Oreochromis niloticus: one gene and its partners. The protein of the gene in region 2 interacts with the protein of the main gene of each other region in a pairwise test. Links are inferred from orthologs where the notes say so. Each region holds a gene or a part of one and is shown on either strand. Other genes may lie near its edges.

Region 1 (7,612 bases), on a different chromosome or scaffold from region 2:
GTTCACAACATTCTCCAGTCTCACATTATTAAGGAGGGATTTAATGTAATTGGGCCTTGTATATTATCACTAATCAATCTTTCTTTGTCACTGGGTTGTGTTCCAGCTGCCTTTAAACATGCCATAGTGAAACCTGTTCTTAAAAAGCGTTCCCTTGATCACTCTAACCTCACTAATTACAGACCTATCTCGCAACTTCCGCTCCTGTCAAAAATCCTCGAGAAGATAGTCCTATCACAACTTCAGACCTATCTAAATGCGAATAACATCTGGGATAAATTCCAATCTGGGTTTACACTGCACCATAGTACAGAAACGGCACTCTTGAGGGTCTTCAATGATCTTCTTTTAATTACTGACTCTGGGTGCCCCGCGGTCTTAGTTTTGTTGGACCTGTCCTCTACTTTTGATCTGGTGGACCATAATATCCTCTTAATGAGGCTTGAACATCTGGTTGGCATTATGGGTATGGCCCTTAGTTGGTTTAAATCCTACTTATCGGAGAAGTCCTTCTCTGTCAACATGGGTATCTACTCCTCTTCCATTGCCCCTGTTACCTGTAGTGTTCCTCAGGGGTCTGTGCTGGGTCCTATGGTGTTTTCTCTATATATGTTACCCCTTGGTCGTATTATTGAAAAGTACAAACTCTCTTATCATTGCTTCGTGGATGACATTCAAATTTATTTTGAATAGACTGAGGATGATACTTCATCGATGCTTCGCTTCTTTGATTGTATAAGTGAGGTTAAAGACTGGCTGCTGAGCAATTCCCTTATGCTAAATGACAAGAAAACGGAAATTGTAATCTTTGACAGTAATACCCCTAGAGCCCATCTAACTGGTGTCCTCGGGCCCTTCGCTGATTTTCTTTCCGATTCCGCAAGTAATTTGGGTGTTTACCTGGATGGCTCCTTTATGTTTGACAAGCATGTGTCCTCTGTTATTAAATCTTGTTTCTATCAGCTTCATTTCATTTCTAAGGCCAAGCCATACTTACCACATGAAAATCTAGAAAAGCTTATCCATGCCTTTGTCACATCCAGGTTAGACTACTGCAACTCCCTATACACTGGGCTTCATTCTGCCCTTCAGATTGCAACTTGTCCAAAATGCCGTGGATTGCCTTCTAACTGGTACTGTAAGGTTTGAGTCTATCACCCCAATTCTCACTGGCCTCCATTGGCTTCCAATTAAATACCGCATTGATTTCAAAATTCTACTGCTTACCTATAAAATCATAAATAATATCGCACCTAGCTACCTTATTGAGCTCCTCAGCGTGTATATTCCCAGTAGAACACTGACATCGTCTGACCAATTGCTCTTGGTGCAACCTAGGTCACGGCTGAAAACCAGAGGTGACCGTGCCTTCGCTTCACTTCGCTTCCTCCCTCATGCTATTCGCGTGTCTGTCTCAAGTCTTCAAGTCTCAATTGAAAACCCATCTTTTTAGTTTAGCCTTCCCGGCTTCCTAGAGCATGCCTTTTAAGTGTACCTTCTTGCCCTCCCCTTTTCCTCTCTTTTGCTTATATTGTTTTATCGATTTTATCTTTAAGTCTTACTTGCTTATCTGCGTACTTGTATGCTTGGTTAATCAATGCCTCCCACCTGCTAGCTTATCTGCTTTGTACTTTGCTACTGTTTTATTGGATTTTGTGAAGCACTTTGGCTACCTCTGGTTTTAAATGTGCTATACAAATAAAGTTGTATTGTATTGTATTGATCAATACAAGTGTAATCAGATTGATAGTTTCTGGGGGGGTTTTCTGTATGTACCGCTGTGGTCATCATAGAGGCAGTCTGGTCTGCCACTGCATTCAAGTATCATAGCACAGAAGAGCCACAGTTTGCTCCTCCTCTCCCCTCTTGTGCTGTGATGTTGTACTATCACGTGACTCAGAAGCACTAGGCAAGCAAGTAAGCATGCTCACACTGAAACATGTTATTTGAATAAAAACATTTAGTGGAATTGAAACAAATATACCAAATATAATATGCTTCAGATTTGATTGAATATAACTACCCTTTTGTGTTAATTGTGAAAGGGATACTGCATGATTACCATATTTAAACTACAAGTACATGTCCTACACACTTGATCATTTTATTGTTTCTGTTCTGGGTTTTAACTAATTAATTCAGATTAAGCCATTTGATGATGTATCCACCTTTATTATTAAAAAGCATGGTATCGGTATTGGTATCTGCCCTGTATTTATTGGATCAGTACCAAATCTTGCAGTCATTGCTACTGACTAGCTTAGCAGGTTCTAACCCTAACTTTTCCAGTGGTGCATCGGTAGTGGACAAATCCCCACAATTTGGAAGACATCCACTATCATACCTATTCCTAAATATTGAATGAATTAGCTGATTTCAGAGCAGTTGCAATTACATCAATTGTAATGAAAACCTTTGAAAAGATCTTAAAAAGTATTATTGTGTCCTCCAATAATAGCAAACTTGATTCTTTGCAATTTGCTTATCAGTCAAGTAAAACTCTTTTTAAAAAAAAAAAAACCACAATTTAATTTTTGTTGTGCTTTTAGAAGCCCCTCGAAAAACCCAGTTCTCATGCATGACTTCTGTTTGCTGACTTCTCCTCTGCTTGTAATAAGATACAGCCTCATATTCTGAGGGAGAGACTGGCCTCCCAGACCAGTTCCCGATGCCGATTTTAAATGTTCTTACTCAAAGGGTCCAACAGGTCCTCGTTAGTGGACAAATCCTGCAGGATTGTGTCGAGCTCTGATTCACCCCAGTGATGTGCTCTGTCACAACTTATTTTTATTATGTACACAAACAGCTGCAGGACTTCTTATGAGAACAGATTTATAGTCAAGTTCTCTGATGACACTGTCCTCTTGTCCTTGCTTTATGGCCCTGTTTTACCTGAATTTGTGAAGTGACTTGATGATAACTATCTGGATTTAAATGTCCATCCATTAATTTTCTTTGTTTGGGAATAGTTCCTTGTGTATTAAAAGTCCCATATATACTTTTAGTACACAAGGAACCAGCAGTCACCCACACTTTGAAAACATCTACAACACCGACAGAAGGAGGATGGAGAACCAGCTTTACCTGTACAGTGTCAGCAGAGACTGGAGGGGTCTCTGGACCATCTTGGACTATAAGGAGTTCTCAGCCTATAAGGGACACAAGTGGTCAAATGAACTGCATCACTTTTTTAATTGGGTTTGATTCATTATCTGCCCCCCTCCCAGGTCTGCTGCCACTGCTACAGCCACAGCCACCACTACCCCATCTCCACCTCAGCATGTCTTCACACTCCCAGTTCATTTCCAGTGTGCTGCCTCTCCCCCTAAGCCATGATCCTCCAATACACAGCCACCCTGTTTCTAACATGTTTCTGACTCTAATGCCCAAGAGGCTCTGCAATACCGCCACCAAAACACTGGGTGGAGGTAGGGAGTATATAGCATTGTTGGCCAATCTTTACTTTTTATTTGTGCTTCCTGTGTTTATTTTAAATAATGGTGACTACAAGGCATGTCATACTACTCCAACTGGAGTTGATACATCTTGAAGAAGAGATACTGATAATGAAGGAATTGCAACTGGAAAACCGAGGGTCTTGAGTTGTCACCTCACCAAGAACACCTTACTGATGTTCTTGTACCCCATTCCAACCTTGTACAGACCTGGAATGGAACAGATTGATTCTGTGGTGTGCAATGAAAATCTCTACATCTCCAGCTCTGCCAACTCCAATTAAGCCTCATGTCTTTTTGTCAGTTTCACCTGTCTCCCTCTTATTCACACACGTAGTCTGTCTTGCATTTACCTGTCAAACTATACATCACAAAAGGACTCACTGCCATATTTTAAACCTCAGACCTGTCAAATTGTTCATTAAAATTAAATTGCATTAAAGTTTTATTAAAATGCATTAAAGTTATAACTCAAACATTTTCTAGTGAGCTTCTGTAAAAAAATAAATTCTCAAAATATCACATCAAAATTGACAAAATAAATGAATACAAAACTTGTTGGGTTAATCCGTCACAAGAGGGCGTAAATGTTCTTTATTGCGAGAGCTTGGTTTATCAGTAACGACTGAATGTGGGCCAAAGAGTGAACTAAAGAAATTATTTGGAAAAAAAACAAAAACGTTTGGCTCTTCGATACCTTCTTCCAAAAGTTACATTTTAAATTATAATGGCTGAATTCGGTTAAGATGACCTCGGGGCCTTTTAAATCAAACTCTTAAATGTTCCTCTTAATCATAGTTACGTTATATTATTATTATTATTTATTATTATTATTATTATTATTATCATCATTATTGGTTCTACAAGCAAAACATAGACAAAAATACAATATTAAATGTTAAATGTAAGTTACATGTGTATTTAAAACATATCAGAATACAAACTATGGTAAAATAGCCTGTTTGATATTAGCCGAACGGTGAGACATCCGAGAACCTTCACAGACATACATCCGAGATATTGTAACCTGTAAATGTAAAGAAATAACAGTATTGTTGATGGAAAAGTCGTGCTTTGTCTCTGTCTTTTCAATACACGACGAGTGTAAGCTTATATCCCTACAGGAACTGAACGTACTGCTACTTCTCCACTTCCTCCTGTTGCCAACCTGGGAAGCGCTCTCTTCCCGTAGACTGGCAGGCTAAGTGCAAGCGACACTTAGCCCACCATTGGCTGTCCCGACTGCCGAAGCTGGCAGGCAGTGGCGACAGGGAAGGACCGGACCAACGGACCTTTTTGGTGGAAATACTGACAGAACGCCGGGAAATCGGGCGGAAACAAAGGGAATATATGTTTTTATAAGCGGTCTGGATTTCGTAAACAGACTGAAACGCTGCTAACGTTGAATGTTAGCTGGAAGTTTCCTAGCTGGTGCCGTGATGTGGTGACGCGACTCCACGGAATCGACGGGAAGCTAACGTTAGCTGATGCTAACGCTACTTGATAAATGAATAATTTTTAACAGAGCTTTTAAGACTCATTTCAGGATTTTAGCATTTTAGATAGTGTAAGAAACTTTTATGATAGATTTTATCATGTTATGTACTTTTATAATAAATAATGTTAATGCTTCAATGACTGCCTGACGTTTTTAAGCTAAAATAGAGCAGCAAACATTAGCTTCCTAGCTGGCTAGTAGCTAACATTGGCTAGTTGTCGACTTTAAACTGTCTTTAAGCCAAAGAGTCCTGTTTCAAATTAGCTAAACCGACTACGGCTGCTTATTTTTTTCACGTCACTTAACTGTATCAGTTAATGTTCACTAGTTATATATGAGTCAAACTTTATATCTGAGGATGGTCGTTCGTTTTGAGATGCAAAAATGAACGCTTCGTTCCAGAATCCAGATATGCAATCACCGAATCACCAGCTTACTTAGTGCTTGTTGGCTAGCGCAGAGTTAGCCAGTCAAACTTGGAATACTGCCCCCTGCTCACTTTATGCGAGTTTCGCTTTGAGGCCTTTTCTGAAATTATCTTTTTTTTTTCCACCAAGAGGACCCTTTCACTGCCTTAATGCATCCCTGCCTCTGAATGGAATTTCTGTTTTGAATGACTCTGGATACTTGTAAAGCTTGACAAGGCTCTAATCCACAGTTGGAGTTAGCTGGACTTGTTGACGTTTACTTCGTCATAACATAACCTGGATTTACGAAGGAACTTGGAGTAATAATATTCTTTGAAGGTGAGAAAGAACTTTAACACGAAACAACTTTAGAAAACAATTGTAGGGTTTAACCTAACTCCCAGACGTATCTGATAGCAGTACAATGGGCAAGCACTATACCGTCGATGCATTTCGGCTTCCAGCCATCCTCTTGATGGGGACCTAGTTCTTCATTAAAAATAATCATTTACAAAATGCAAAATACAAAAATACTTTAAATAGATTTGTAATTACTTTGACAATTGGTGGCCCCCTCAATCGTTTGCTATACCTCATTTACTACCCTGTTAGCCTTTATCTTCGCTCTGCAAAAAAGAAAAAGCTTCGAGAATCGCTCCTCTGCAAGTCAGCCAAAGTCCTCTACTTCCACTTGTCATCCTTTAGTTTTTGATGCATGGTGCAGTAGGTAGGTAGGTAGGGTAGGTAGTGCCCCCCGCCATCTGTCACTACCTTTATAAAGATCCTCAATGTGACCATCCCCCTCTTAAACATGGTTTATCCAGAGGGGCTTGACCTCAATAAAAAGCGTTAGTTTGGATTTTGCGTTTCACTTTGCAAGGGTCTAGTAGGTAGATTTGTTCTAAATAATTGGCATGTATCAAGAATGGTCCGCCTCAGTTATAGGAAAGTGCAGTTAAGTGTTTTTGAGATTTTGGTGTACCTAGCTGCTACGTGTTCCCTATTGGAAGTTGTTGTTCCTTTTAGGTTGGTTAAATCCAACTCACATGATTCCTGCTTGTCTGTCTGGGAGCCTGTCTACAGGACTTGAGCCGCTTGATATGGAGAGCGGCTTTATTACCCAGACCTTCTCAGCTTTTTCGTAAATTTAACTAGAATGGGTTAACGTAATTGTTTTTCTATAGACTACTATCAGCACAAACTAGTTAACCATTACAGTAAGTCAACTAGATTCAACTGATTTTGGTCTTTGTTGTCCCTTTTGTTAGTCAAAAAGCTACTGTGAGGGTTAATTTAAACTATGGAGATTAAATTACCCCTGATGAGGACTTTGAGACTTGCCCACTGTCTAATGTTATATCTCAGTGTGTTAATAATTTTGTTGATATAGGATCTGTGTGGGGGGGTTTTTTTGTTTTGTTTTGTTTTTCTTTGGTGTTCTTCAAAGAAGTTTTAGTATTCAGTTTTAACAAGTTAATATGCTTTTTGACTCTGTAATGTCCTAACAAAATAGCACACAGACCTCTGTTGCATAACACAAGCTCTTTGCCTTAGCATGAATATTGCATATACAGCTTTCTTTCCTGCATAGCTACGCCCAAATACTCATTCTGAAACATGTAAATGACACAGTTGTAACTTTGTTTTTATAAAACTTGGCTAGGATCATAAGCGAAAGAGAGTAATGAAAGTAAAAAGGAAATTATCCATAGCACTTAGTAATTGGTGTTATGACTTCTCCATGAGGGGTGAATTTTTTGCTTTATTGACGTGACAGTGACGGAGGGCCTTGTCTCTCCTGTTTTCTCCTGCTCTTTATTTTTGCAGATGATGTGCGAGGTGATGCCCACCATCAGTGAGGCCGAAGGCCCTGGTGGTGGAAATGGAGGAGGCCGTCGAGGTTCTGGTTCGCCACTTCAATCTGACTCAGAGGGTCACTTTGAGTCGTTGATGGTGTCTATGCTGGAAGAGCGAGATCGTCTTCTTGAGACCCTGAGAGAGACTCAGGAGAATCTGGGCCTGACCCAGAGCAAACTGCATGAAGTTAGCCATGAAAGGGACTCACTACAGAGACAGCTGAACACTGCTTTGCCACAGGTCAGTGAGAGAGACTTTTTTTCTTAAAGGAAAATCCTATTCTTAGTCCAGGTAGATTAATTCTTAAAGAAATTCAGTGTTTGCCATTCTACAGTTTCTGCCTGAGACTAAGCCTTTACTGGAAGAAATGGTACAGAGAGTGGTTTGGTTTGGGG
Region 2 (7,172 bases):
ATCAATAATAATACCAATTATTCCATTTATTAGTTTTGTTTAAGAAAATGCTGTGAAAAATGCCAATCACAATTTCACAATTTCTCAAAGCTTATTTTGTCCATTCAGCAGCCTAGAATCTAAACAAATAAATTACAACTATATAAAAGCCTCATAAAGTTCTTAAAATTGTCAAAAGTGTCAATATCACTGGTTTATTGTTGGATACAAAAGTTGTGTGCTTTTCTCTAATCAGAAAAGGACTATAGTCATAGGTTTATAGCTTCACTATTGTTTTGTGGGGGGGGGGGGGGGGGGGTGTCCGTTTAGTGCCGTTCCAAAAATTCTTTACATACAGAAAGACAATGAACACATGTTTAGTTCCTTACATAATATTGAACAAAATCCACCCACCTGTGGCTTCCATCCATCACTGTCATATCTAATGGCTCCATGGAGTTGAGCTGCAGCTTTTGGCGATACATGCTCTCCAGCTCAGCCATGGTGTGCAGGTGGGCCTTCTTTAGTTCCTCCAGCTTGCTGTAGTACTCCTCATTGGAGAAGAAGATTTGACTGAGGTCGAGGCGATCTCCTGCTGCTCTGTAGTTGTTTATCAGGAAAGGGCCTCCTTTCCCAGTGCAGTCCTCGTCACAGTAATCAGAGCCTGAGTCCTCATACTCCATCTGAAATAGTCACAACAATCTCATACTGCAATCAGCAGCCATTTTATATCTAAATATTATAAGTGACCTAAATACACTGCACTTATACACTGCCCTGCGACAGACTGGTGACCTGTCCAGGGTGTACCACACCTCTCGCCCTATGTCAACATGGATAGGCTCCAGCCTCCCTGCAACCTTGCATAGGAGGAAGATGGATGGATATCCTGTTCCAGTGTTGGATGCTTATATTAAATATGATAGTTAATAATGAGTCATAATAACAATAATGAGGTCAGGTAATGTACAAGTAACCTCTGTGAGCCAAATGAGATCTTTCCATTCTCTTGTTTTATTTTTGACTCTGTATGATGTCAGTGAAAGGGGATATCCTTATCTCACCAACACTCTGGCTGTGGGTTCAGATGCTTCTTCCAGCTGCTGTTTATCTCTTCAATTTGCAAACGGCAGCAAATCATGAGAAAGTTTGCTGGCTTATTAGGGAGAGGAGAGGAGCTAAAACAGCTTGTTTCAGACAGAGGATGGACTGAAGGGCTGTATCAAGTCTCAGTATAAGATGAATAGGTAATATCTGAGTGTGAATCATGCAAAGCTATTCTAGAAGAGTCCAAGAGGCAAAATACAGAGGTGGAAATGATCAGAATAGGTCATCATTATATAACTTTTTGAAACAATATATGTTTGGATTCACTATATTAAATGTTGCATGGAATAAATATACTAATTGTGAAGCTGTCACATTGATCCATTTCATGTTCCTACATCTTCAAACATAATGGCTTAACCACCACTCATTGAGCACTCCTCCAGGACTAAGCCTATTATGCTGTCACAGCAGTGACACTGACCATATGCTGAGGCATGACAGGCAGACACACAATTTACATCAGGTGTCTGCCTTCACAGCTTTTTACTAAATTATCAAGGGCTTTACTGAAACAACTGCAACAAGATCTTTGATGGAAGAACAGCAGAAGATGAATGATCTTAGGATTATACACTAAATGTGACATTTGATAATCTAGCCGAGATGGAAGTCCACAAATAGTATGCTAAACAAATTAAACAGATCAAATCCCTTCCACCACACAGGCTGACCTGAAACTGTCAACAGCCTGTTGGAACCAGACCAGAAACAGTCTGTGGCTTACTTCACAAAGTAAAGTCTGGATAATAATGGAGAAAAAACCTTTAAATACAAACAGCCGATTGTACTCTGTTCAGACAGTTTAAACTTAATATTTAAAATACAATGTCTCAAATTGTAATATGCCAAAGATCCCAGTAACAATAAATGTAAAGGTCTGTATAGAATGACCGGGGGTCTATCTATGTTAAATTACTATTACTAAATTATTATTATTATTATTACTATTAAAAATAAATTTTAACAATTGTCGGCGCAATAAATTACATTTTTTTCGCAGGATTAAAGTACTTACAGTGACTTAGTCTGCATTTTTTTCTGCAGCATGTAATTCACTTTCTGTGTGGATTTCCTCCACCACTGAGGAAATGGAAACATCTAAATTAACTAACTGTAAATTAACCAGAAAGCTACGGTTCGTGTGTCAGTAAAAGGGGGCTGGCAGGCTGATTATTAGGAGATTTTTAAACAAAAGGCAGATGTTGTAATTGATATTCGCAATCTGTACACCACCATTAAAACTCAGTAAAAATTACCTCTTTCTCGTAGTCCCGGTTGTCAACGTGACCTGTAACCGTGCACGGCAGGACTCTCTCACGTTCATACGAAGCTAACGGCGCTTTGGTGTGCGGGTCTACCGGCGTTTTCAAACATGAAGTAACCAAAACGTTTTTCCGGTGGGCATTTGCCATGTTTTTGTAAATGTTGCTTTTTATTTATTTATTTTTTAAGTTGCCTCACAAAATCACTTGTAGTAAGAGTACTCAGTCGAGATGACAAACTCGCTCTCTATCCACATCAAGGTAGCAAGTGAAATCCTTAGCAACAGAGAAGCTTGGTTGGGAGGGAAGTGACGGAGAGTGGCAGGAAATGAAAAGCCGTGGGCTCCACACAAATTAAAAGCACCGGAATTTTTGAAAAGAATAGTTGAACAAAAAAATGTTGTAATTGCCTTAATGTATTGATTAATACTATGACATAAGTTATGGATGTGGGAAAATGAATCCTCCAGAAGTACCCTTACTCACACAATTGCAGTACACCAAAATAAATTTTAAGTCTAAAGATACGGTTAAATCTTAAGTACTTTGCATCTGTGATGCAGGTTACTTATACAAATCAGCTAGAACACTACATGATTATTTTTTAGACTTATATGTTCTTGTCTGCTTTGCCTGATGGATATTTAAAAATAATGCCTTTTATTTGATTCAGTGGTGAAATTTAGCAGTTGTTGTTATTCTTAACTGTAATCTTCAGTGTGCAAGTTTGCTGCTTAGACATATGACAGGTACAGGTATCTGCAATGCTCTGATTATACAGATTAACAGACACTAGACAAAAGGCCAGGATGTAAAGGTTCAACTTGCTTTAAAAGATATAATCACACACACATAATTTTTTATTAAATTATGCAACGTAACAACTACAGTGGAAATCTGAACAGAATGGTGTTAACAGAGTCCTCTGATCCCTTGCAGTGTGAGCAGGCTTAGTGACAAAACTCAGTGGACAGACCTATCGGGTGTTCACCTGCAACAAGAAAACACATTTCCACTGATTTGAACTGGAATCTAATATACCCAGATTTTGCAAAAAGCCAAAGGTAGTGTACAACAACTGATCTTAAAATAATTTAACTTTAAATTTTAAAAAAAAAAGAAAAAGGATTAAGTCTTACCACATCATCAATCTTCAGGATGCTACGGACCGTCTCAGTGGCCAGTGTCAGTGCACTGATGGAGACCAGTAAAGGCTGCACCACCAGTTCCTCAAGGATGTTGGAGATCCCTCCCTGTTGCACATACAAGAAATTGTTTGGTGTGTAAATTAAATGTTCTTAGAGTAAAATTAAGTGTCTTTTGTGTCTAACTAATGGTTCACATTTCCAAATTCATTTTACACTGACATTCAACAGGAAAAAAGAAAATTAATGCACTAAAAAACAAAACAACCCACAAAAAACAAACAAGACAATAGTTTTATTGGAGAGCAACTAGAGAACATTTTTATTGGATAAGTAGCTTAAATATCTACTTCTGTTAGCAGTACCTTATCCACAAAGTTAGGCTATGCTAACTTTAAAAAAATAAATAAATTTATAAATTAAAAGATCAACCTTGCGAACATTGATGCCAGCCATCTTGTCTCCCTGTGCGTGTCTGTTACGGAGCTCCGTCACAGTGGAGATGGGGTTCAGGCCAGCATTCTCGGCAAGCGTCGATGGGATCACCTCCAGGGCATCAGCGTACGCCCGCACACAATAGGCCTCCATGCCAGCCAGTGTGCGCGAGTACTCTGCCAGACGCACAGCCAGCTCAATCTCTGGAGCACCACCTCCAGCAATGAGAGCCCTGAGAGACAGAGAAGGCAAAAATGCAAAAGCCATTGGATCTGATCCTATTACTGAGAGAAATTGGGATCAAAATAAAATAATAACAACAAAAATACGTTTTCGAAAAAAGAATACATCTGTTTGAATGCTCTCCATCAAAGTTGCTGAAGCAACCCATTGCGAAAATAATGGCGAGCTTCCCTAAATACTGTTCCTCTGTTTGTTACGCTCCTGCAGGATGAGTCAGTGCAAAAGCGCCTTTGTCAGAGGGCAATCGTATCTGTAACTGTATCTAAAGGTGTTCTTGAACAGTCCAACTTTGCCATGTGAGCTAGCATGGAGGGGTATGTTTTCAGCTTTGTTAAGAATTTTTTTAACAATGAAATTTACTCTTCAGAAATAATTGACTGACCTCTTCTTGACCAGGCAGCGGATGACACACAGAGCATCATGGATGGAGCGCTCTGCCTCCTCAATCACAAGCTTGTTGGAGCCGCGCACCACAATGCTCACTGTCTTCCCAGGGCTTGTGCAGCCTGTGATCTGCAAAAAGTGGCAAGCGAGGCACAGAGTTGTTTCAGCTCATTTTTTCCTCAGCTCCAAGTGAGACATTCTGTGTCCTTTAACTCAAAAATAATCAACTGAGTTTCTCTGAGCGAAGACTCAACTGTACCTTGACTAGTTTGCCGGACCCATCCAGATTGACTTCCTCTGCTAGCTCTGCAGTGCCAAGCATCTCTGGAGTGAAGTGGTCGATGTGGGCTATGGGCTTGGTGCCAATAGTCTAAAGAAGGGGTGGGGGCTTCAGTTAAATGGTGTGGAATGCTAAACAGAGTTGTCAAAACTAAATACTTGCTCACAAGTTGAAAGTGTACAAATCTTGTTAACTGATGATTAGTTTACTATAAAAACAATTTTAAGTATAAAGTGCTGCCAAATGTGATGTAGATCTATATATGTCCATTAAATACTGTGTGAAAAACAGAGAAGCCGTGGTTCATTTGACAATACTAACCTTGCAAATGAACTCAATATCCTCTCTCTCAATCTCCTTCACCACCATGATCTTCATTTTGTTGAGGAAGTGCAGGGCGAGGTCACTAAGAGCATCTCTGTTACAGGACAGTTAGTTGTTAGTGTGACAGATGTTTCGTGTATCAGAAGAAGACTGAAATGCATAGTAGAGTGTATTTTTCTCATGTCCTTCGCTCCCTGCATACCTGAGGATGGATTTCTGGATGAGCAGCACGTTGCAGCCAGCCTTCTTAATCTGTTTTACCAAGTTGAGGATGTAAGCACGCTCCTCCCGCAGCACGCGGTCCATTTGGGCGTAGTCTGACACCACGATCTGGTTGTCCATCTACATGCCCCACAAAAACCCAACAGAAGGTTAGAAAAAGAAGGCTTTTCCTGAAGGAATACATAATGGTTCACAAGAACAGCACTGACAGTGTTTTATATATACTGAAAACAATGTCTTCTCTTCTATATGACAGGAAAAGGAACAACGATAGCAGCTGAAGCAGTCAAAACTGTAGCAGCAGCTCATTGTTAAAATCTGAAGCTGAGCATAAAAAATAAGGCAGAAAGGGTTTTCTTGTCAGCAGATATTCATCAAGCGACTCACATCAGTCTTGGGAGGGGACAGACAGAACTGAATAAGGCCAATTTTGGCCTTTTCCACTCGGGTCACACCAGTGTTGGCAACTCTCTGGGTCAGCACAAGGCCGTCTATCAGCTCACAGTCATCAATGGTGCCTCTAAACACACAACACACACATGTGATTAAGCCTAGCAAAAATCAGAAGAAATTGCTTAAATAAGAGTAGAAAAACAAACAAACAAGCAAGCAAAAACACTCACCCAAGCTTCTTGATGATTTTGATGTCCTGTAGGTCGACACTAGTGGCTGTGGCTGGGTCAATGACTCGCATAACAGCATCCACACTCATGGGTGCCAGCAGGTTTGAATACTGTGACACCACCTTGGAGCACAGTGACGTGGTGGCACTGTTGAGCAGTGTCTCACGGTCACTCAGCTGCACTGGCTGGCTCATGCCCGTTAGCACCTCCACGCCCTTATCGACTGCCTTTTGGAACGACTCCGAAATGATAGTGGGGTGGATACCTGGCAGGTGAGACAAGTAATTAAACGGGCTCAATTGTGCTCAATTAAAGGTTCATATTGTTATTCTTCAACTTTTCCAGATACACAGCTCAAAATGATCCTTATTTATCTTGTATTGGGCTTTAGTGCCATCTTAAGTTCATCTACTGTGCAAAATAAGCCTTGCAAAGTAAAGGGAGTCAACATTTCTACACTCCATCTCCAGTGCGTGAATTCAAAATGCACATAAAAACAAACTACAAGATACAAAAAAGATGCAAATAATTCTACTATAAGTTACTAATAAATATGCTAACTTTCAAATTTTTTTTACTCTTAAAAAAAAGAGAGAGAGAAAAAAAAGCTGTAGCATCACTTTTGATTTTTCAGTCCCCTGAAGCACTCACCTTTCTGCAGCAGCTTGGAGCAGGCATCCAGCAGCGCTCCAGCTATCACCACCACAGAGGTGGTGCCATCACCAGCCTCAATATCTTGGGCTTTGGACAGTTCCACCAGCTGAAACACATTTGGTTCAGGCCATATGAGTTAATCACCGAATTAACAACAGTGTTTGGTGTAAACTGTTGAAAGAAAATTTTAACAAAGCTTAAAATTATGCTTAGAAAGCGAGCACTCATAGGTCAGTTTTAGTTGCAAAGCTTCTGTGCAGGCTGCTGTAACGTACCATTTTGGCAGCGGGGTGGAGCACCTGCATCTGCTTCAGGATGGTGGCCCCATCATTGGTAATGGTTACATCACCCTTCTCATCCTGGATCTGAAACCAAAAACAACAGCCATCGCTTAGATACAGGTGTGATGAGGGACCTTGGTAAAGTCAGCGAAAAGTCAAATCTGTTTACTGACCATCTTGTCCATGCCTTTGGGGCCCAGGCTTGTTCTGATGGCATCTGCAACAGCTAA
Region 3 (6,987 bases), on a different chromosome or scaffold from region 2:
TATTTGTTCTTTTCTGCTATTTTTAATTTTTTGCAGTGCTCGGGGATTTATTCAGCGAGCAGTGTGACACACAAGTAGCCAACAAAATTATTATTGATTCATATGTCAGTTATTTTTATTAAGAGTTAATCATTTAGCCTTCCACAGCTTCACTAAAATTGTTTGTTTAGTCCAACAAATTGTCCAGAACCCAACGATCGTTACAATTTATAATCAGTAAAGAACACATCATCAAATTTTGCATGATAATGAATAATCAATTATAAAAATCATCAGTTTCCTGAAGAGTGTTTCAGCCTTCCTGTGTACACAGCGGACTTTATTTCTATCTGCAATCACAAAAGCGCACAGTATCGTACAGTCGCCTCACCTGCTGTGAAATGCTTACATGCATAATGAAGCTGTTGACTGGCACACACATACACACCTCTGTCAACGAACACGCTGGGGATGCTGTGATTGGGAGAGCTGGTGTCAGCTGGGAATATGAGTCAGGTTAGTATGACTTCATTTCTTTTTACGGGTATTAGGTCATCTCTCTGCCTCACTTTTCCCTATTTCCACCCCCTTCCCTCTTGCCTCTCCCCTCCCCCCATCTGTGTGTCTAATCATATTGATGCTGTACAGCTAGTGACACGCCTAGTGATGAGTAAGGCTCACCTCACCGCTCGCTTCCCGTATGGCAGTGATCTCAGAGCGCTTTGAACTCAGGAGTCCTGCTTGGCCTTCTCGTTATTCTTGGCATTCATGTCTCATTTTATTGAATGTATTGCAGACAGCTGGGTGATTTGGATATTGCTTTTACTGTTCACAATGAAAGATTGTACTTTTTAATCTGCAGAAGGGCAGAGTCACAAACTAGGTCAAATTTCATTAAAAATTATGATGGTTTGAACAAATAAAATGTCTCACATCGGATGGCTTTAACATTTATTCAAGGGTAAAATGTAAAGTCTATGAAATTTAAAGGGGATCTATTATGCATTTCCTTATTTTCTGTCGCATAGATACTGATATAAGGAGGATGCTCATATTCAGTTTTATTTATATAGCACCAAATCATCACAACGGTTACCTTTATATTGCAAGGTATGTAAGCCATGTTTCATATCTACAGTAATAGATATGAAGCATAGGTAAATGTATGGATAAATAATCCCTGTGAGCCCAAAGCTCAGACTGCTCTACACACTCACTTTCAGATATTTTCTCCATTCTTTCATTTCAGGTCTCAGAGAGTGAATACCCCTCATATGGACCTGTCAGGCAGGTAGCTCAGGCGGTGAGCACAGAAGCCCAAATCACCTGATGTTTGCTTTATTTTTTTGAGAGTGCCAGCCAATCAGAAGAAAATGAGCTTAGAGGAAGCATGAAGGAAGCTGCAACACAGAATGAGACGAGTGACTGCATGAGTGGCACAGTCCAAGAAAATAAAGAATCATACAAAGCAACTCACTGGCTTCCATCTCCCTAAATGCTGGATTTTTCCTATGGATCTTTGATAGTTAACAGAGGTGATCAAGCAAATCAAAGAGGAAACTTGAACACTTTCTTATATCATAAGACATTTATGGATGTTTGATATGTGGCAGTTTTTTTATGATCTCCTGTTGATCAGTTTTTTTATGATCTTATTTTGGACGTATTTAATTATGGAGCAGTATGATTATGGTGTGGTTAACGCTGTCATCTTGTCTGTCCTCATGTGAACCTCCCGGTCGGGTGGGGCCTTTCTGTGTACGGTTTGCATGTTCGCCTTGTGGCTGCAGGAGTTTCCTTCCTCAGTCCAAAGACGTGCTTTTCAGGTTTGCTGATGATTCGAACGTGGATGTGCAGGTGTGTGTTTTGTCTGCGATGGACTGATGACCTTCCCAGGATGCAACCCACCTTTTGCCCCCTCACCTCAATTCTTGCTAATCTTATTAATAAAAGTGTTGTAAATTTTAGCACTAATACTTTTATTAAAGTAAATCAAAACTCTTCCATTCTACTTCCATTTAACCTAACAAGTACTTTTAAACTGGAAACTGTTGAATATTTTATTAATTAAAAAAAGATTTTTAGTGCTTTCTGGATCCAAATATATTATATATAATGAATTTATTTGTATTAATATAATTAATATACTACCCCATAGGTACAGTACCAGAGAAGTCTACATCACAGTGTGCGTTATTTTCTCCAAGCTCACGATGCGTTCAAGTGACCCAGAGTCCTATTCCATCATTTATGAACATTACGGATGTAAACAAACCATTTACAGCTCGGTAACATAGGTCATGTAAAATTCATGCTCAGCCGTTACATAATGATAAGCAAATCCAACAAGACCTCTGTAGAATATCTTTCAGCAGCACACTTGAGTTGTTTTTAATTTGTGTTTTTTTGTTTGTATATAGAACGAGTTTGGGATCGCAGGGAATTAAACTGACTGCATCATTCAACTGGGCCATCTGTACAGCTTGATAATGGCAGTCGTGCTGCTATAGTTGCCTTGAGGAAGGGTTGTATGATGCTCCCTGGATGCCACTTTAATTAAATTATCAATTCATGGAAAGCCCGGCACAGGTCAGTGTATCAATCACTAGCAAAGTGGGGTCCATGGAGCTGGGGGGGTCCCTGAGGGCTCTCCGGGGGGGTCCCAAGTGAAATGAAAACCACAGTTATTTAATTCATTAAACGCCACTGACTGAAAAGTGTATTGCTAACTGCTGTAGTAACAGATGTATGAGGTGTGATGTGAAATAATTTTACCTGAGCATCAGCGTCAGCTTCAGTCCAAAACAAGCTTCAGTGGGATCCTGTGTGGAAAAAGAACCAGGGTCATTTCAGAGCAGCACAAGTTTTGAAACAAAAACAAAAAAAAGATTTTGAGGTATTAAACATTTGATTTGCCATCTAATATTTTAATTACTGCAGCTTTAAACTTACAGCAACTTAATCTTGGCTTTTTGGGTCTGAACAGGCTTAATATGATGCCTGACAGTAAAAATGTGAACCACACAAAAAGTAACATGTTCAGATACACAGCAGCAAAGTGATTACTTTAAAGTGTACATTTATTTGAAAACCAGAGGGTTAACTTGTTTTTTCACTGGCACCGCAACCATCTGGCCTCTTGCAGTAAATTGAGTTTACATCACTCTTATATCACTGCATAACTACAGTACAAGCACTTTCTATTTTGCTCGTGCCACTGTTGGAGATGAATTCAGAGATTAAGACAGCACTTAAACACAAACATAAAGCACAACATCCTGCAGACTCACATCATCCTGTCTAACCTGAACTCAGTGGTGCTATCATCAGCTGTTCAGCAGGAGGAGAAGAAAAAACCCATCCGTGCTCTGTGAGCGATGTTTGCATGGGCTATTCCAGGAACAAGAAACATGACTCAAGTAAAAGTCATGTCCTCATTTAAATACTAGTATACACATCATTTCAAAATGTACTTAAAGTACTATAATAAAACCATGTATATCACTTTGTTGTTGCAGCTTGACTGTTTTAATTACATACAACGCTCGGTAGCTTTGTCTATAATAACCTAGCATCATGTATTAGCAGAATCATAGTTTAAAATCATTAAAATACGTGGCAGGGAGCACACAGTGCAAGGAATTTATCCAAAATATATTGGATTAGAGGAGGAAAGTATCATAACATACAGAAACAAAGTAGCCATGCTCTCAACACTACTCTACTTTAGTTACCTTAGTGGGGGGCACCATGAGGGGGCTGTGCCACCCCTCATACTGGCTCTCTGGACACACCCCTGTTCCATAGTCACCCCTTACACACATTTGGTTTATTTTCTCCAAACATCACCTGCTCGACTGAAACCCTCACCAGCTAAAAATACTGTCACTACCGAAGCGTTAATCATGGTCGCCAGGTGGCGCCTGCAGGCTGCATTGTAATTAGCGGAGATTGGCAGCCTAATCAAGTGTGTGGATCTGCAGGTGGCTGCTGACTCGGGTTGGCTCGACTCGGAGCTCCGCGGCTCTCCGATTTGTTCAAAGGAAACGCGTCCCAGCGGATGATATCGTGATTAACTGGGACTGCCGACATTTGGAAAGGTCACCGGTGAGCGCAGAGACGGGAGACGCGTTTTAAAGCGCTGCAGAAGAAAAGGCAGAAGAAGGCGAAGGTAGGACGGAGAGCGGAGTGTGTTTCAGCTGGAAGATGAAATGCATTTATTCTTCTTCTTATAGTTTCTAACAGGGCGCAGGCAGAGAGTTGAATCAGTTCATGAACTCTTTGACCCACACTGACAGTTTCCATTCAGTGTGTCAGCCAGTGGATGGCGTGGATGTGCTGTGCTTGTGAATGACTTCAGTGGAAGGCTGTGCACTGTGGGGTTCTATTTATGTCATATGTACTGAGTGGTAGCAGGGGGCGCCAGAGAGGCACAGAGTGAGAGCATCCTCATAATTCGTGACGAAAGCATGCATGTACACCGAGTGAGCGCTTTGTTAGAAACCACATTAGAATGAGCCAATCACGCGGCAGCAGAGCGGTGCGCGACACCCAGCAGGCGCTTCGCCCAATGATGACATCATACTCCAGAAAATAGGAATAAATATGAGGTTTGTGTCAGCTGTCCTGGTTTGAGTATTACTGAACCTGTTGATCACCCCGGATTTCCGGAAAATCTGCACTCATACTGATGCTCAGAAAACAGAAACCACACAGGTTTACCGGTAACCGAAGTCAATATTGATTGTTCAGTTTTGTTATTTGTCTCTCGACGTGAACCGGGGAAATCCCCCAAAATCCACGCTGTGAAATCAGTCAGAATCAGACTACTTTATTAATCACGGTGTGTGGGTGGAGGTGGAGGGATAAATTAAAATGTCAATATGATATAAAATATGAAGCTAGAAAAATGTAAACAATATATATAAAAATACGTTTTAAAAGGGCCACATTCCAATAAGGTCCAATTAGTTAAAATAAATACTCTAAAGTTTAATGATACTACGGACAATATACACAAGATGTGGCGAGTCTAAATAGTCCAGTTGTAGTAGAGGGTAGTTGTAACGTTTGATGGCTAGTGGCAGGAATCAGTTCCTGTGCCGTTCTCTGCATCAGGATGAACACAGAGGTACTTGAAAGCCTCCGCTGTCTGCGCATAGAAACGGGGCCAACAGACAAGGGCGTAGATTTGGTTTTGGCATTGGTGGGGACGGATGATTCAACCACCGAACCCTGCGCTGTTTCTTTTTCTTTTTTTCCTTTTTGTCTTTGCTTCTTCATTAAAAAAAAAAGAAAAAAAAGGGAGAAATATACTTGCTTACATATGCTATTCTACATGCTTTTAAACCATTTAAAATTACAATTCATAGTTTTATATGTGAATTATATAATGTTAAATTACTATTAAATAAATGACTGATTTTAGACTTTAGTTTACTTCAGCCATATTCCATATAAATCAGGTATCATACAAAAATAAAAAAAAGCTTCAAATAGAGTCATGACAATAAAAGAATATGACTTTAAGGACATTACTTCAGTTATAGTGCACCAACATCTCTTACACATTAGCACTAAGGGAACACTGAATGACCTGATGGTTTTTGTCCATAAAACTACTCGTCTAAGATTACCACAAAGTAAAAGATCTCTCAGCAAAATTATGCAACCTTTTAGGCACTATTGCCCCGATCAAGTCAGTGAGCTGGGACTTTTTATTCTAAACATGAACTACTGTTACAGCAACACACATGGACTACTGGTGCCCCACACAACAACTCAATGTCCACTATGTGAAGGAGTCTATACTACTGTTTATACTATACTGTCTATACTATACTGTCCTGGTGGACATGGCAACACTTTTTTCATGGTTACATACAGTTTTATACGGTGGCCCTGAGAGGCCAAACGGACTGCAACTTCAGAAAACACTTGCAAAAAGAAAAATGCTGCAAAAAGAAAAATGCTACAAAAAGAAAAACACTTGCAAAAAGAAAAATGCTGCAAAAAGAAAAACGCTGCAAAAAGAAAAACACTTGCAAAAAGAAAAACACTTGCAAAAAGAAAAACGCTGCAAAAAGAAAAACGCTGCAAAAAGAAAAATGCTGCAAAAAGAAAAATGCTGCAAAAAGAAAAACGCTGCAAAAAGAAAAACGCTGCAAAAGCACACAAAGCACAACGGAAATAGGAAAAAAGACAACGGAAATGTTTCTGGGGAGACAATACCCGGACGGACCAATTGCACGAACCAAAACATGCTAACAAGTGCACTGGGAGACACTTCAAAGAAGTGGAGCGGCCAAAGAGTAAACTTTCAAAAGTAAGTTCTGAATATTATGTCACTTATTTATGTGCAAATGTTTAATAATGAGGAACATTAAAACATTACTGTTGGCCACATGCCGGCAAAGTTATGTGACATTAGCGATGTTTGTACTTTCAGCATTTACTTTGTTTTAAAGCCTTTACTTTATACGCCGTTAGATAGTCGACCTTAATCTTACAGAGAATCTGATGATTTTGTGGATAATTAAAGTCAGTCATATATCCACAAACACAACAAGCTGAAAGTCAGTGATGCTGCTCGGTTTGCAGTCCTGAATATCACGGCACACGCAGGATTCACTGCACTGTTAATGTTAGCTATGTTATATTGCTGCCTCTGTTCGGTGGTGTCGAGCCAAACGGACTTTAACGTGTGTTTGAACGAGCTGACGGTTCACTCGTTAAGCTGAAAGAAAGATGCTTTAATCACTGGAGTCACACATGTGTCCACTGCACCATCTGGGAACTCTTCTTGTTTAGCACTCGTAATAACACAAACACTAAATCCTCCTTCTCTTGTGCTGTTTTGTAGCAGTGTATACACCTGAGACTGTCACCTGTCTGTCTGTCCTGCACTCTCTCTCTGTTTCTTTCTCTCTGATTGTGGAATAAAAGTATGAACATGTATTTATAAGTTACACTTGTGTTTGAATCCTGCAGCTTATCACACATTTGATT
Region 4 (7,186 bases), on a different chromosome or scaffold from region 2:
CCGAATGACTTGATCTTTAGCTTGCAGCGCTTGGTTGAATCTGGCTGTTTCGTTACGGAGTCTTTGGCGCTCAAGACTGGCTCGCCGCACAAATGCATCCTGGGAGTCCAGCTCCTCCCATTCCTCAGAAAGCACCTGCAAAACAGCGGATCCTCAGCTGATTAAAACATATTCTAACCTGGCACCTATGAGGAACTTTGAGCTTGAAAATGCTTAACTGAATAATCAACATTAAGAGGTTTATGGGCACTGGATTAAATGTTAAAGCTCAGTTTCTCGACACTGATAAAGTTGATCGGTAGACTAAAGACTTTTTCATTTAACTTTTCTTACAGGCTTAATACATGTCGGAGAAACTTGCTGTGAGTGTTGTTTAATTCAAAATCTTCCGTCCTATCACCTTCCCCAGGCTTCTGAACCTACCTGCCAACTCTCAAGTGGTCGGAGACGCTCCAGTTCCAGCTCCTGTGTGTGCAGACTTCTCTGAGCTTTTTCCAGCTGAGAGCGCAGGCGCTGCACCTCCAAACAGCAATCCCTGTGCTCCCTCTCCACTTGATGCGCTGCCCACTGGGACTGGAAACAACAGAAAACACGTGGTGAATAAAACAGACAAGCCTCTGCTTTCTTTACATGCTGAAGTCACTGAACTTACTTTTATGTGTGAGAGCTCATCTTTCAAGCTCTTATTCTCGGCCTCCAGGGCTGTGAGCTCCTGCTGGCTCTGGGTGCGGTGCTGCTCCCACTCCAGAGAGCGCTGATGATATTCCTGCAGAGAGAGGGGAGCATGATTATACCTCACATACCCAGCAGACGGCAGCAATCCAATGGCATGACTGGGGTGATATCAGGGTTCACCTTCTGGAGGTCTGTCTCTTTCACTCCTGCGTTAGCGTCCTTGAGGTGTTTGCGCTGAAGCTTGTGGTAACTTCTCTTTAACTTATCCAACTGCAGGAAAAAAAATGCACTTACTATATTTGAAATTATGCGGGAGAGTGAGTACAAACAGAAAAACTGTAAACTTCTGCCCAAGCAACAGCAGAAAAGATTTGTAACAGACGAGTTTTCACACCTCTTCACGGAGTTTGTGCAGTTGCTGCTCATACTTGGCGGCTAACTCTTGTCGGCCAGTCTGGACATCTTCAAGCTGCTTGCGGAGTAATCCAATCTACAGTCATGGGTACAGTAATGGTGTTGGAAAGAGTTAATATGAGCACACAATTTATGAGCTGTGTTAGCAACTATCTTATATTGAGGCTATGCTCATTACCAGCTGCATATTTTTTTATTTTTGGTCTCTACTCAAAATGCTCTTTATTTATTCACACTGAGCCTTGATGCACCACCCCACTTCATCGTTGGTGCCCACAAAAATTGCAGGTTTACAATCTACAAATTTTGTCATCGTCAAATCATCAACAAAAGTAAAGAATCCAAATCTAGTTTTACTTAAATAAAGGCTGATTCAATCATATCAACAACATCCATTTTTCTTTCCCTCATCTGACATTGATTTGTGGCGGCAGCAGACAAAGCAACGCCGCTGGGAAACCTTAAAAAGGGAGCAAGTGTCCTGATTAGAGGCCACCTCAACTTGCTCTTTTTAAGAGCGAGAAGCAGTGCTTCGACTCTGAGCTCCCTCCAGATGTCCAAGCTCCTAATCCTACCGCTAAGCCCAGACTCACTTCAGCTGCTTGCATCTACCACCACACTTGTTAGGTCATTCCCCAGATTTCAGCACGCACTTTAGGAGATTGCAGGCATCTCACACTCCACGTTCCCTTCACTTGTGACTAAGATCATAGCCTCAGACTTGTAGGTGCAGGCCCTCATCCAGGCTGCAAACCGCTCCAGTGCATGCTGATGGTCATGCTGTGATGAAGAACTATATCTGTTGGATGCAAACTGATTGAATAACCTCATCAGGAAGGCCGAATCTGTAGTTGGCATGAAGCTCATCAACCTGGAGATTCTTTTAACCTGACTGTCTGCGAGTCTGCTGCTATCAGACTCTTTAATTCATCTACTTTGGTCAGACCCACACATACTGATCAAGACTAAACACACCTCACTGCACTCTGCCACAAAGTATATGTGCACACCTAGCAGCACCTTTTACCTGTTAATGTCCCATAAACATTAATGTTAATACGTATGTCCTTTTATATTTATATCTTGAAGTTTCGCTGATATGATAATTTGCACAACACAGGGATGTGATTTTGAGGTTCCCACAATGGACACCTCCTCACACCGGCTACACTTTGACATCCTGTCCATGAACATCACTAACAGGATCGAGGGAGGAGTACCAACACTGGATAAACACGTGTACACATCATTATTTATCTTTTAGAACTTTGCTCCTGTTTAGAATAAACTCTTAGGCTCTTCTATTTCACCTCCAGTTCCCTCCGTTCAATTGTGCTCCTTGAGTTTAAAAGTTCCTCTTCTCTACTTTTCAGCCTGAGCTCCAAGGCACAAGTCTCATCTTCCCACTTCCTCTTCTGATCGTTGATCATGATGTCAATTTGTCGCATCAGTTCCTGAAGCTCCGGCTCACACGATGAAAGGACTGAGCTGAAAGGAAAAGCCAAATAACGAAAAGGATGTAATTTCTGTAAATGCTCATTGCCCAAGTTAGTTCTTTAAGCGCAGTGCAAGTTACCTCAGATCAGGGTTGTGCATCGACCCCAGAAAAGCCTCCATCTGGTTTAAAGTAAAGTCCTGTTAGTAACTTAAAGCGGACTGGCTTTGCGGTCGCTTCACGTGCCCTTTCCCTACGCAAGAAGTTCACTATAACTTAGCAACCATAAACGTTACTAGCAACCCATAATACACAGCGAGCTAAACCAAGGCTGACCTGACTGCTACACGGAGGTGGTTTCTGCTTCCAGCATAGTTAGCTCACGTTAGCTGCTGGCTGTGGCTGGTCCGTTTCAACTCATCCAACTTTATTTGTTTACATCACTAGCTGGACTACACTGCACAACCGAACAGCGCGCTTCCTGAGGTAAGGCGGTAACTCCACCCCGGCATGTGATGTCAACACGCTGTACGTAACTCCAGAGCACAGGAAGCAAGTGGTTTAAAATAATCAAAAGAGACTTGTTATCCACACGTCTAGCTATGTAAGTTCGTGTTTGGAAATTCCCTGTTACCTTTAACGCTTTGTAACAAATGATATCATAATATATGTCATCATGTTGGTTTTATCGACGATTAAAGGATATTGTCAGACATCCTATGAACACGTGGCTCGTTGGTCTAGGGGTATGATTCTCGCTTCGGGTGCGAGAGGTCCCGGGTTCAAATCCCGGACGAGCCCAATTTTTGTACCGGAGGACTGTTGACATATTTACTTCAAACTTCTGCAGTGAATTTTTGTAGAGTCGACTGTGGAGTCTACGTAAGTGGTCAGCACTGCTACCAGTTTTCAAGCTAATGCGCGTTTTCACTTCTGAATTGTCTTGTGGTCGTGTTCCGGTGTTCTGGGAATCCATCCTACCACACGAAACAGTCTACCCGTTGTTTCTGCGCATGCGGAAACAACGCAATCCCCAAATTTACTTCATTTTTTTAGGCCAATGTGAATATTTGTTATGGTTATGATTAGGGTTATGGTTAGGGTTACGGTTTGTCAGAAGTCACTGTCAAATTATCCTACGTATAGGACGGTTTGCCAAAGTAGGACGGTCTCAGAACTGGTGATTTATATGCTGTGCCAGTCACGGTAGAAACCAACAAAATAGTGTAGGGTCCCTACTCTTTGTGGTCAGTTGTATTTTTGGAAGGAAAAATATTTCTGACGTCGATTCCGTCCAAATAGTCTTCAGGAATTTGCTGACATCCGTTAGTCCTTATATTGAGGTTGTGATTATATTCTCTTATAGTGACGCAATGATTGTTGATTAAATACAGTCAAGTCATGGATATGTCAACATATAAAAACGCTACCACAGAACTCTTTGCAACCGGCTCGTTGGTCTAGGGGTATGATTCTCGCTTTGGGTGCGAGAGGTCCCGGGTTCAAATCCCGGACGAGCCCTCCTTTTCTATTATTCCTGAAGAATATCAAACCTTTTCAATTTATCTTGAAACATAAGGATGTTTTTAATGTTTTTCATGTTAAAGCTAACTAGATTACTTTTTCTGTGTGACTACACCCGCCTCCCGTTGCGTCATTTCCCCGTTTCTCCACCTGCCTGTCGTCAAACACTGAACAAAGAGCGTCCCCTCCGCTCTGCTTCCCCAGCTGTTATGCTGGGTGGGTATGGGGCCGTGAGAAAGAGAAAGAGCTGGAGACGTTTCTGTTCCGCCCCCACAAACCCAACAGACACTCCTAACAGGAGGCAGACGAGCCGGCTTTCTGACACCATTCACTGCAGAGAGGCTGAGCTGTGCAGCCAAAGACGGACAATAAATTACACGCAAAGGCCAGCTGTAAGTACACTCTTTATTATTATTATTATTGAAACATTTTTCTTTCAACTCAGCATAAGATAGTAGATGGTAGTGTATTTTGGTATATTGGTGTCCTTTCTAATCAGGTTCATTGTCTGGATTAAAAAACATCAATACTACAATAATTCAGATTAACGTTTATTTAAATTAAATTTGATGCAACAATGCTTCTAATAGCTAATAAAAATGTTTTTTAATGTATTAGGGAGTCACTTTGTTGAGCTTGGGATCTGCTGGAGCCATCATCTTCACCATTGTTTCTAAACACTGGACTCGCAGAAAGCCTATTCACACCCATTAAAAATTTAGATTTTGTAGAAAAATCCTTAAGTCCACAAGTTGTCAGGGTTGACCATGGTTCTCTGTGAGGATGGCGACTGTAGCGTCTGCCTGTTGCCCTACTCCCGGGAGGAGAGGATCCCCCGGGTGCTCCACTGCAGGCACACCTTCTGCGATTCGTGTCTGGAGAGGATGTCAACGGAGAGGAACGGTCTGCTCACCGTGGGCTGCCCTTTGTGTCGCCGGGTGACCTGCATAGGCCGAGGTCGAGGTCTTCGAGAAGCTCTGTGGGTTAACAGCGAGCTGTGGGACCAGATACCGGAGGATGTGGACATAAGAGAAGAAGAGGAAGAGGAGGAGGGAGAGAAGCAAACAGCTGCACAGGAGAGAATAGAAGCTAAACAGTTACAAGGAGAATGGTGGGTTTATCATTTTGAGTCTTTAAACATTACTAGTGTGGAAGTTGAGGACTGAAAATGTTTTAAATGGCAGAAAATGAGAACAAAACCTCTTTGGAGGCAGTGCTGAATATGAAATTCCTGTCATACCGAGTCCTTTACACATTAGTGCCGAGCAGTCCATTTGTCCACACAGCTTCTCATTAGCGCCTCGGCTCTACAGCATTTTTCCCAAAGCCCAGTCTGACACGAGAGCCTTTTCTCTTTTCAGCATTTCCTCGAGATCCGCCAGAGCGAAGCTCAAACTGCCCACGTTCTTCAGGAGGTTCAGTCTGACGAAGCAACACCAGGAGAGAATCGTGCCTGGCAGCAATGTGTACGTTCTGAGTTTGTAGCTTTTATTTACAGATTATTAGTAAAAATGATCACTTATATTTTTCTTTTTGTTTCATCTTAAAGGGAAATGAAATCCTGGCGCAGACTTTCAACAGAAGAGACTTTTTAAAAGTAACTGACAAGTGGCCGCTCTCAGGACGAGAAGACTCAACTTTGAAGGGAAGCTGTGGTCGCTGGGGGAGGAGGATTCATTTGTGATCCTGTCAGGACACAGTTTTGTCCTCAGCCAAAGGTGCTCCGTCTCCCCATTATTTATTCTAGGATTAATTCTCCCAGCCGTTGCTGTGGGATTTAGTTCAGCTGTCCCAGAGGGGCTAACACCCGTAGACCTAGACCCCCTCAGAACAGATGGTCCCCTCTCCATTTCAGCTCCTGAATAGCCATCATAACTTATTGTTTTCTGTATTTATGATAGCTAGGACATAAAGTATTTAATAAAACTATTTTTCAAACAGGTGTCCATTGGGTTTTATTGACATCTGAAAGAATCATGAGTTTTCCTCCTTTACTGCATGCACCATTTATGACACATGAAGTATTTAAGTGAGTGAAAAAAGTGAAGCCAGGAGGGGATTTCTGAATATTATTCTTGTGGAGAAGACGCACAACAAAAACCTGCCACAAAAGACTCATTCAACCATGAAAGTGGATTATAAAACTCCATTCACCGAGCATCTGGCACATATTCCACGTTCAATGATATCTGCAAACTGGATCATCACTTTCTTTTCTTTTTGTTCCACTTTATGTCCATGTTAAACCCCCTCCGACATATTTTAAAGAAGATACGTTGACTATGATGTGTTTGGTGTCTCAGTCACATTAAGGTCAGTGCTGTTTGGATGGAGCTGAAAATCTGTTAGTTGTCACACTGGTTTGGTCTCAACTGTTAGCCTGCGTACTCTTAGTCATATATTGGCAGGCGGTGTGTTATTCGGTCTTTGGATACCATATTCCCACGTTTAAATTACTGCCAAACAGGAAGCTGCCTCCAAGTTCAAAATAAGCTGGCAGCCACGGGGGCAGGCTGGACAGGAATGTATCGGGAAGGCAGCAACAAACAAACACGCACACGCATGATTGTGTATATGGCAACGAACCAGTTTCAGTTTTGCAATGTATTTACTGGCTCTCCGTGCAGGCCTGATGGTGGTAATCCCCAAGATTAAAGCTGAACAGAACAGGAAACAACTCCCAGATTGTCTCAGCAGTGGTGGGATAATGCACATAATTGACTTCAGTCGGAGTTGGAATGCTAAAATATAAAAATACACTTTTCCTGGAGGATAATTTAGGCCTAGCATCAGAATTAAATACTGTGGTAAATTACACCAACCTAAAAACTGAAGGCCCGCATAAGCATCTGCAGGTTTCTTTGGTCAGACTGATTAATGAGGCGGTTATTTAACCATGAGCCACAAAAATATTTTCAGCTCCAGTGGGGAAGCTTTGCAACAACGTCATGGTGTAAGATCATTTCCTCCGTACTGCATTGCAAACAATAGTACGTTCCTGTTTGAGTATCTGAATCCACACAAACACTTGCAGTACGGAAAAGTACGAAATAACTAAACAAATTAAAGATCAACTTTCATTCTTGTGATAGAAAAACTACATTATTACCTGCACAGGTGGCCTAGAAAGAGTCATCA

What was found.
Region 1: the proteins of fam161a (region 2) and ppfia1 interact in binary tests that used the Homo sapiens proteins (3 or more experiments, as listed by UniProt). The link is inferred for Oreochromis niloticus from reciprocal best matches to the Homo sapiens genes FAM161A and PPFIA1.
Region 3: the proteins of fam161a (region 2) and lamin-A interact in binary tests that used the Homo sapiens proteins (3 or more experiments, as listed by UniProt). The link is inferred for Oreochromis niloticus from reciprocal best matches to the Homo sapiens genes FAM161A and LMNA.
Region 4: the proteins of fam161a (region 2) and cep63 interact in binary tests that used the Homo sapiens proteins (3 or more experiments, as listed by UniProt). The two-hybrid records come from large-scale screens. The link is inferred for Oreochromis niloticus from reciprocal best matches to the Homo sapiens genes FAM161A and CEP63.

What each region holds. Positions count from the first base shown.
Region 1 is NC_031965.2:3,503,899-3,511,510, forward strand, and holds the start of ppfia1 (liprin-alpha-1), read left to right. Parts: upstream 1-4,596; 5' UTR 4,597-5,699; intron 5,700-7,187; coding exon 7,188-7,457; intron 7,458-7,612. UniProt on the Homo sapiens protein: May regulate the disassembly of focal adhesions. May localize receptor-like tyrosine phosphatases type 2A at specific sites on the plasma membrane, possibly regulating their interaction with the extracellular environment and their association with substrates.
Region 2 is NC_031971.2:5,234,830-5,242,001, forward strand, and holds the start of fam161a (protein FAM161A), read right to left. Parts: upstream 3,016-7,172; 5' UTR 2,502-3,015; coding exon 2,346-2,501; intron 663-2,345; coding exon 394-662; intron 1-393. Other genes in the region: cct4 (T-complex protein 1 subunit delta), read right to left, coding at 3,328-3,342, 3,491-3,604, 3,929-4,163, 4,557-4,687, 4,818-4,928, 5,160-5,256, 5,365-5,504, 5,772-5,904 and 4 more. UniProt on the Homo sapiens protein: Involved in ciliogenesis.
Region 3 is NC_031976.2:36,001,658-36,008,644, forward strand, and holds the start of lamin-A, read left to right. Parts: upstream 1-3,971; 5' UTR 3,972-4,150; intron 4,151-6,987.
Region 4 is NC_031986.2:32,690,693-32,697,878, reverse strand, and holds the start of cep63 (centrosomal protein of 63 kDa), read right to left. Parts: upstream 3,003-7,186; 5' UTR 2,861-3,002; intron 2,807-2,860; exon of another isoform or gene 2,707-2,806; coding exon 2,666-2,706; intron 2,578-2,665; coding exon 2,400-2,577; intron 1,166-2,399; coding exon 1,070-1,165; intron 946-1,069; coding exon 856-945; intron 767-855; coding exon 653-766; intron 574-652; coding exon 424-573; exon of another isoform or gene 410-423; intron 136-409; coding exon 2-135; intron 1-1. Other genes in the region: im:7152348 (RING finger protein 223), read left to right, coding at 4,816-5,159, 5,410-5,514, 5,598-5,643. UniProt on the Homo sapiens protein: Required for normal spindle assembly.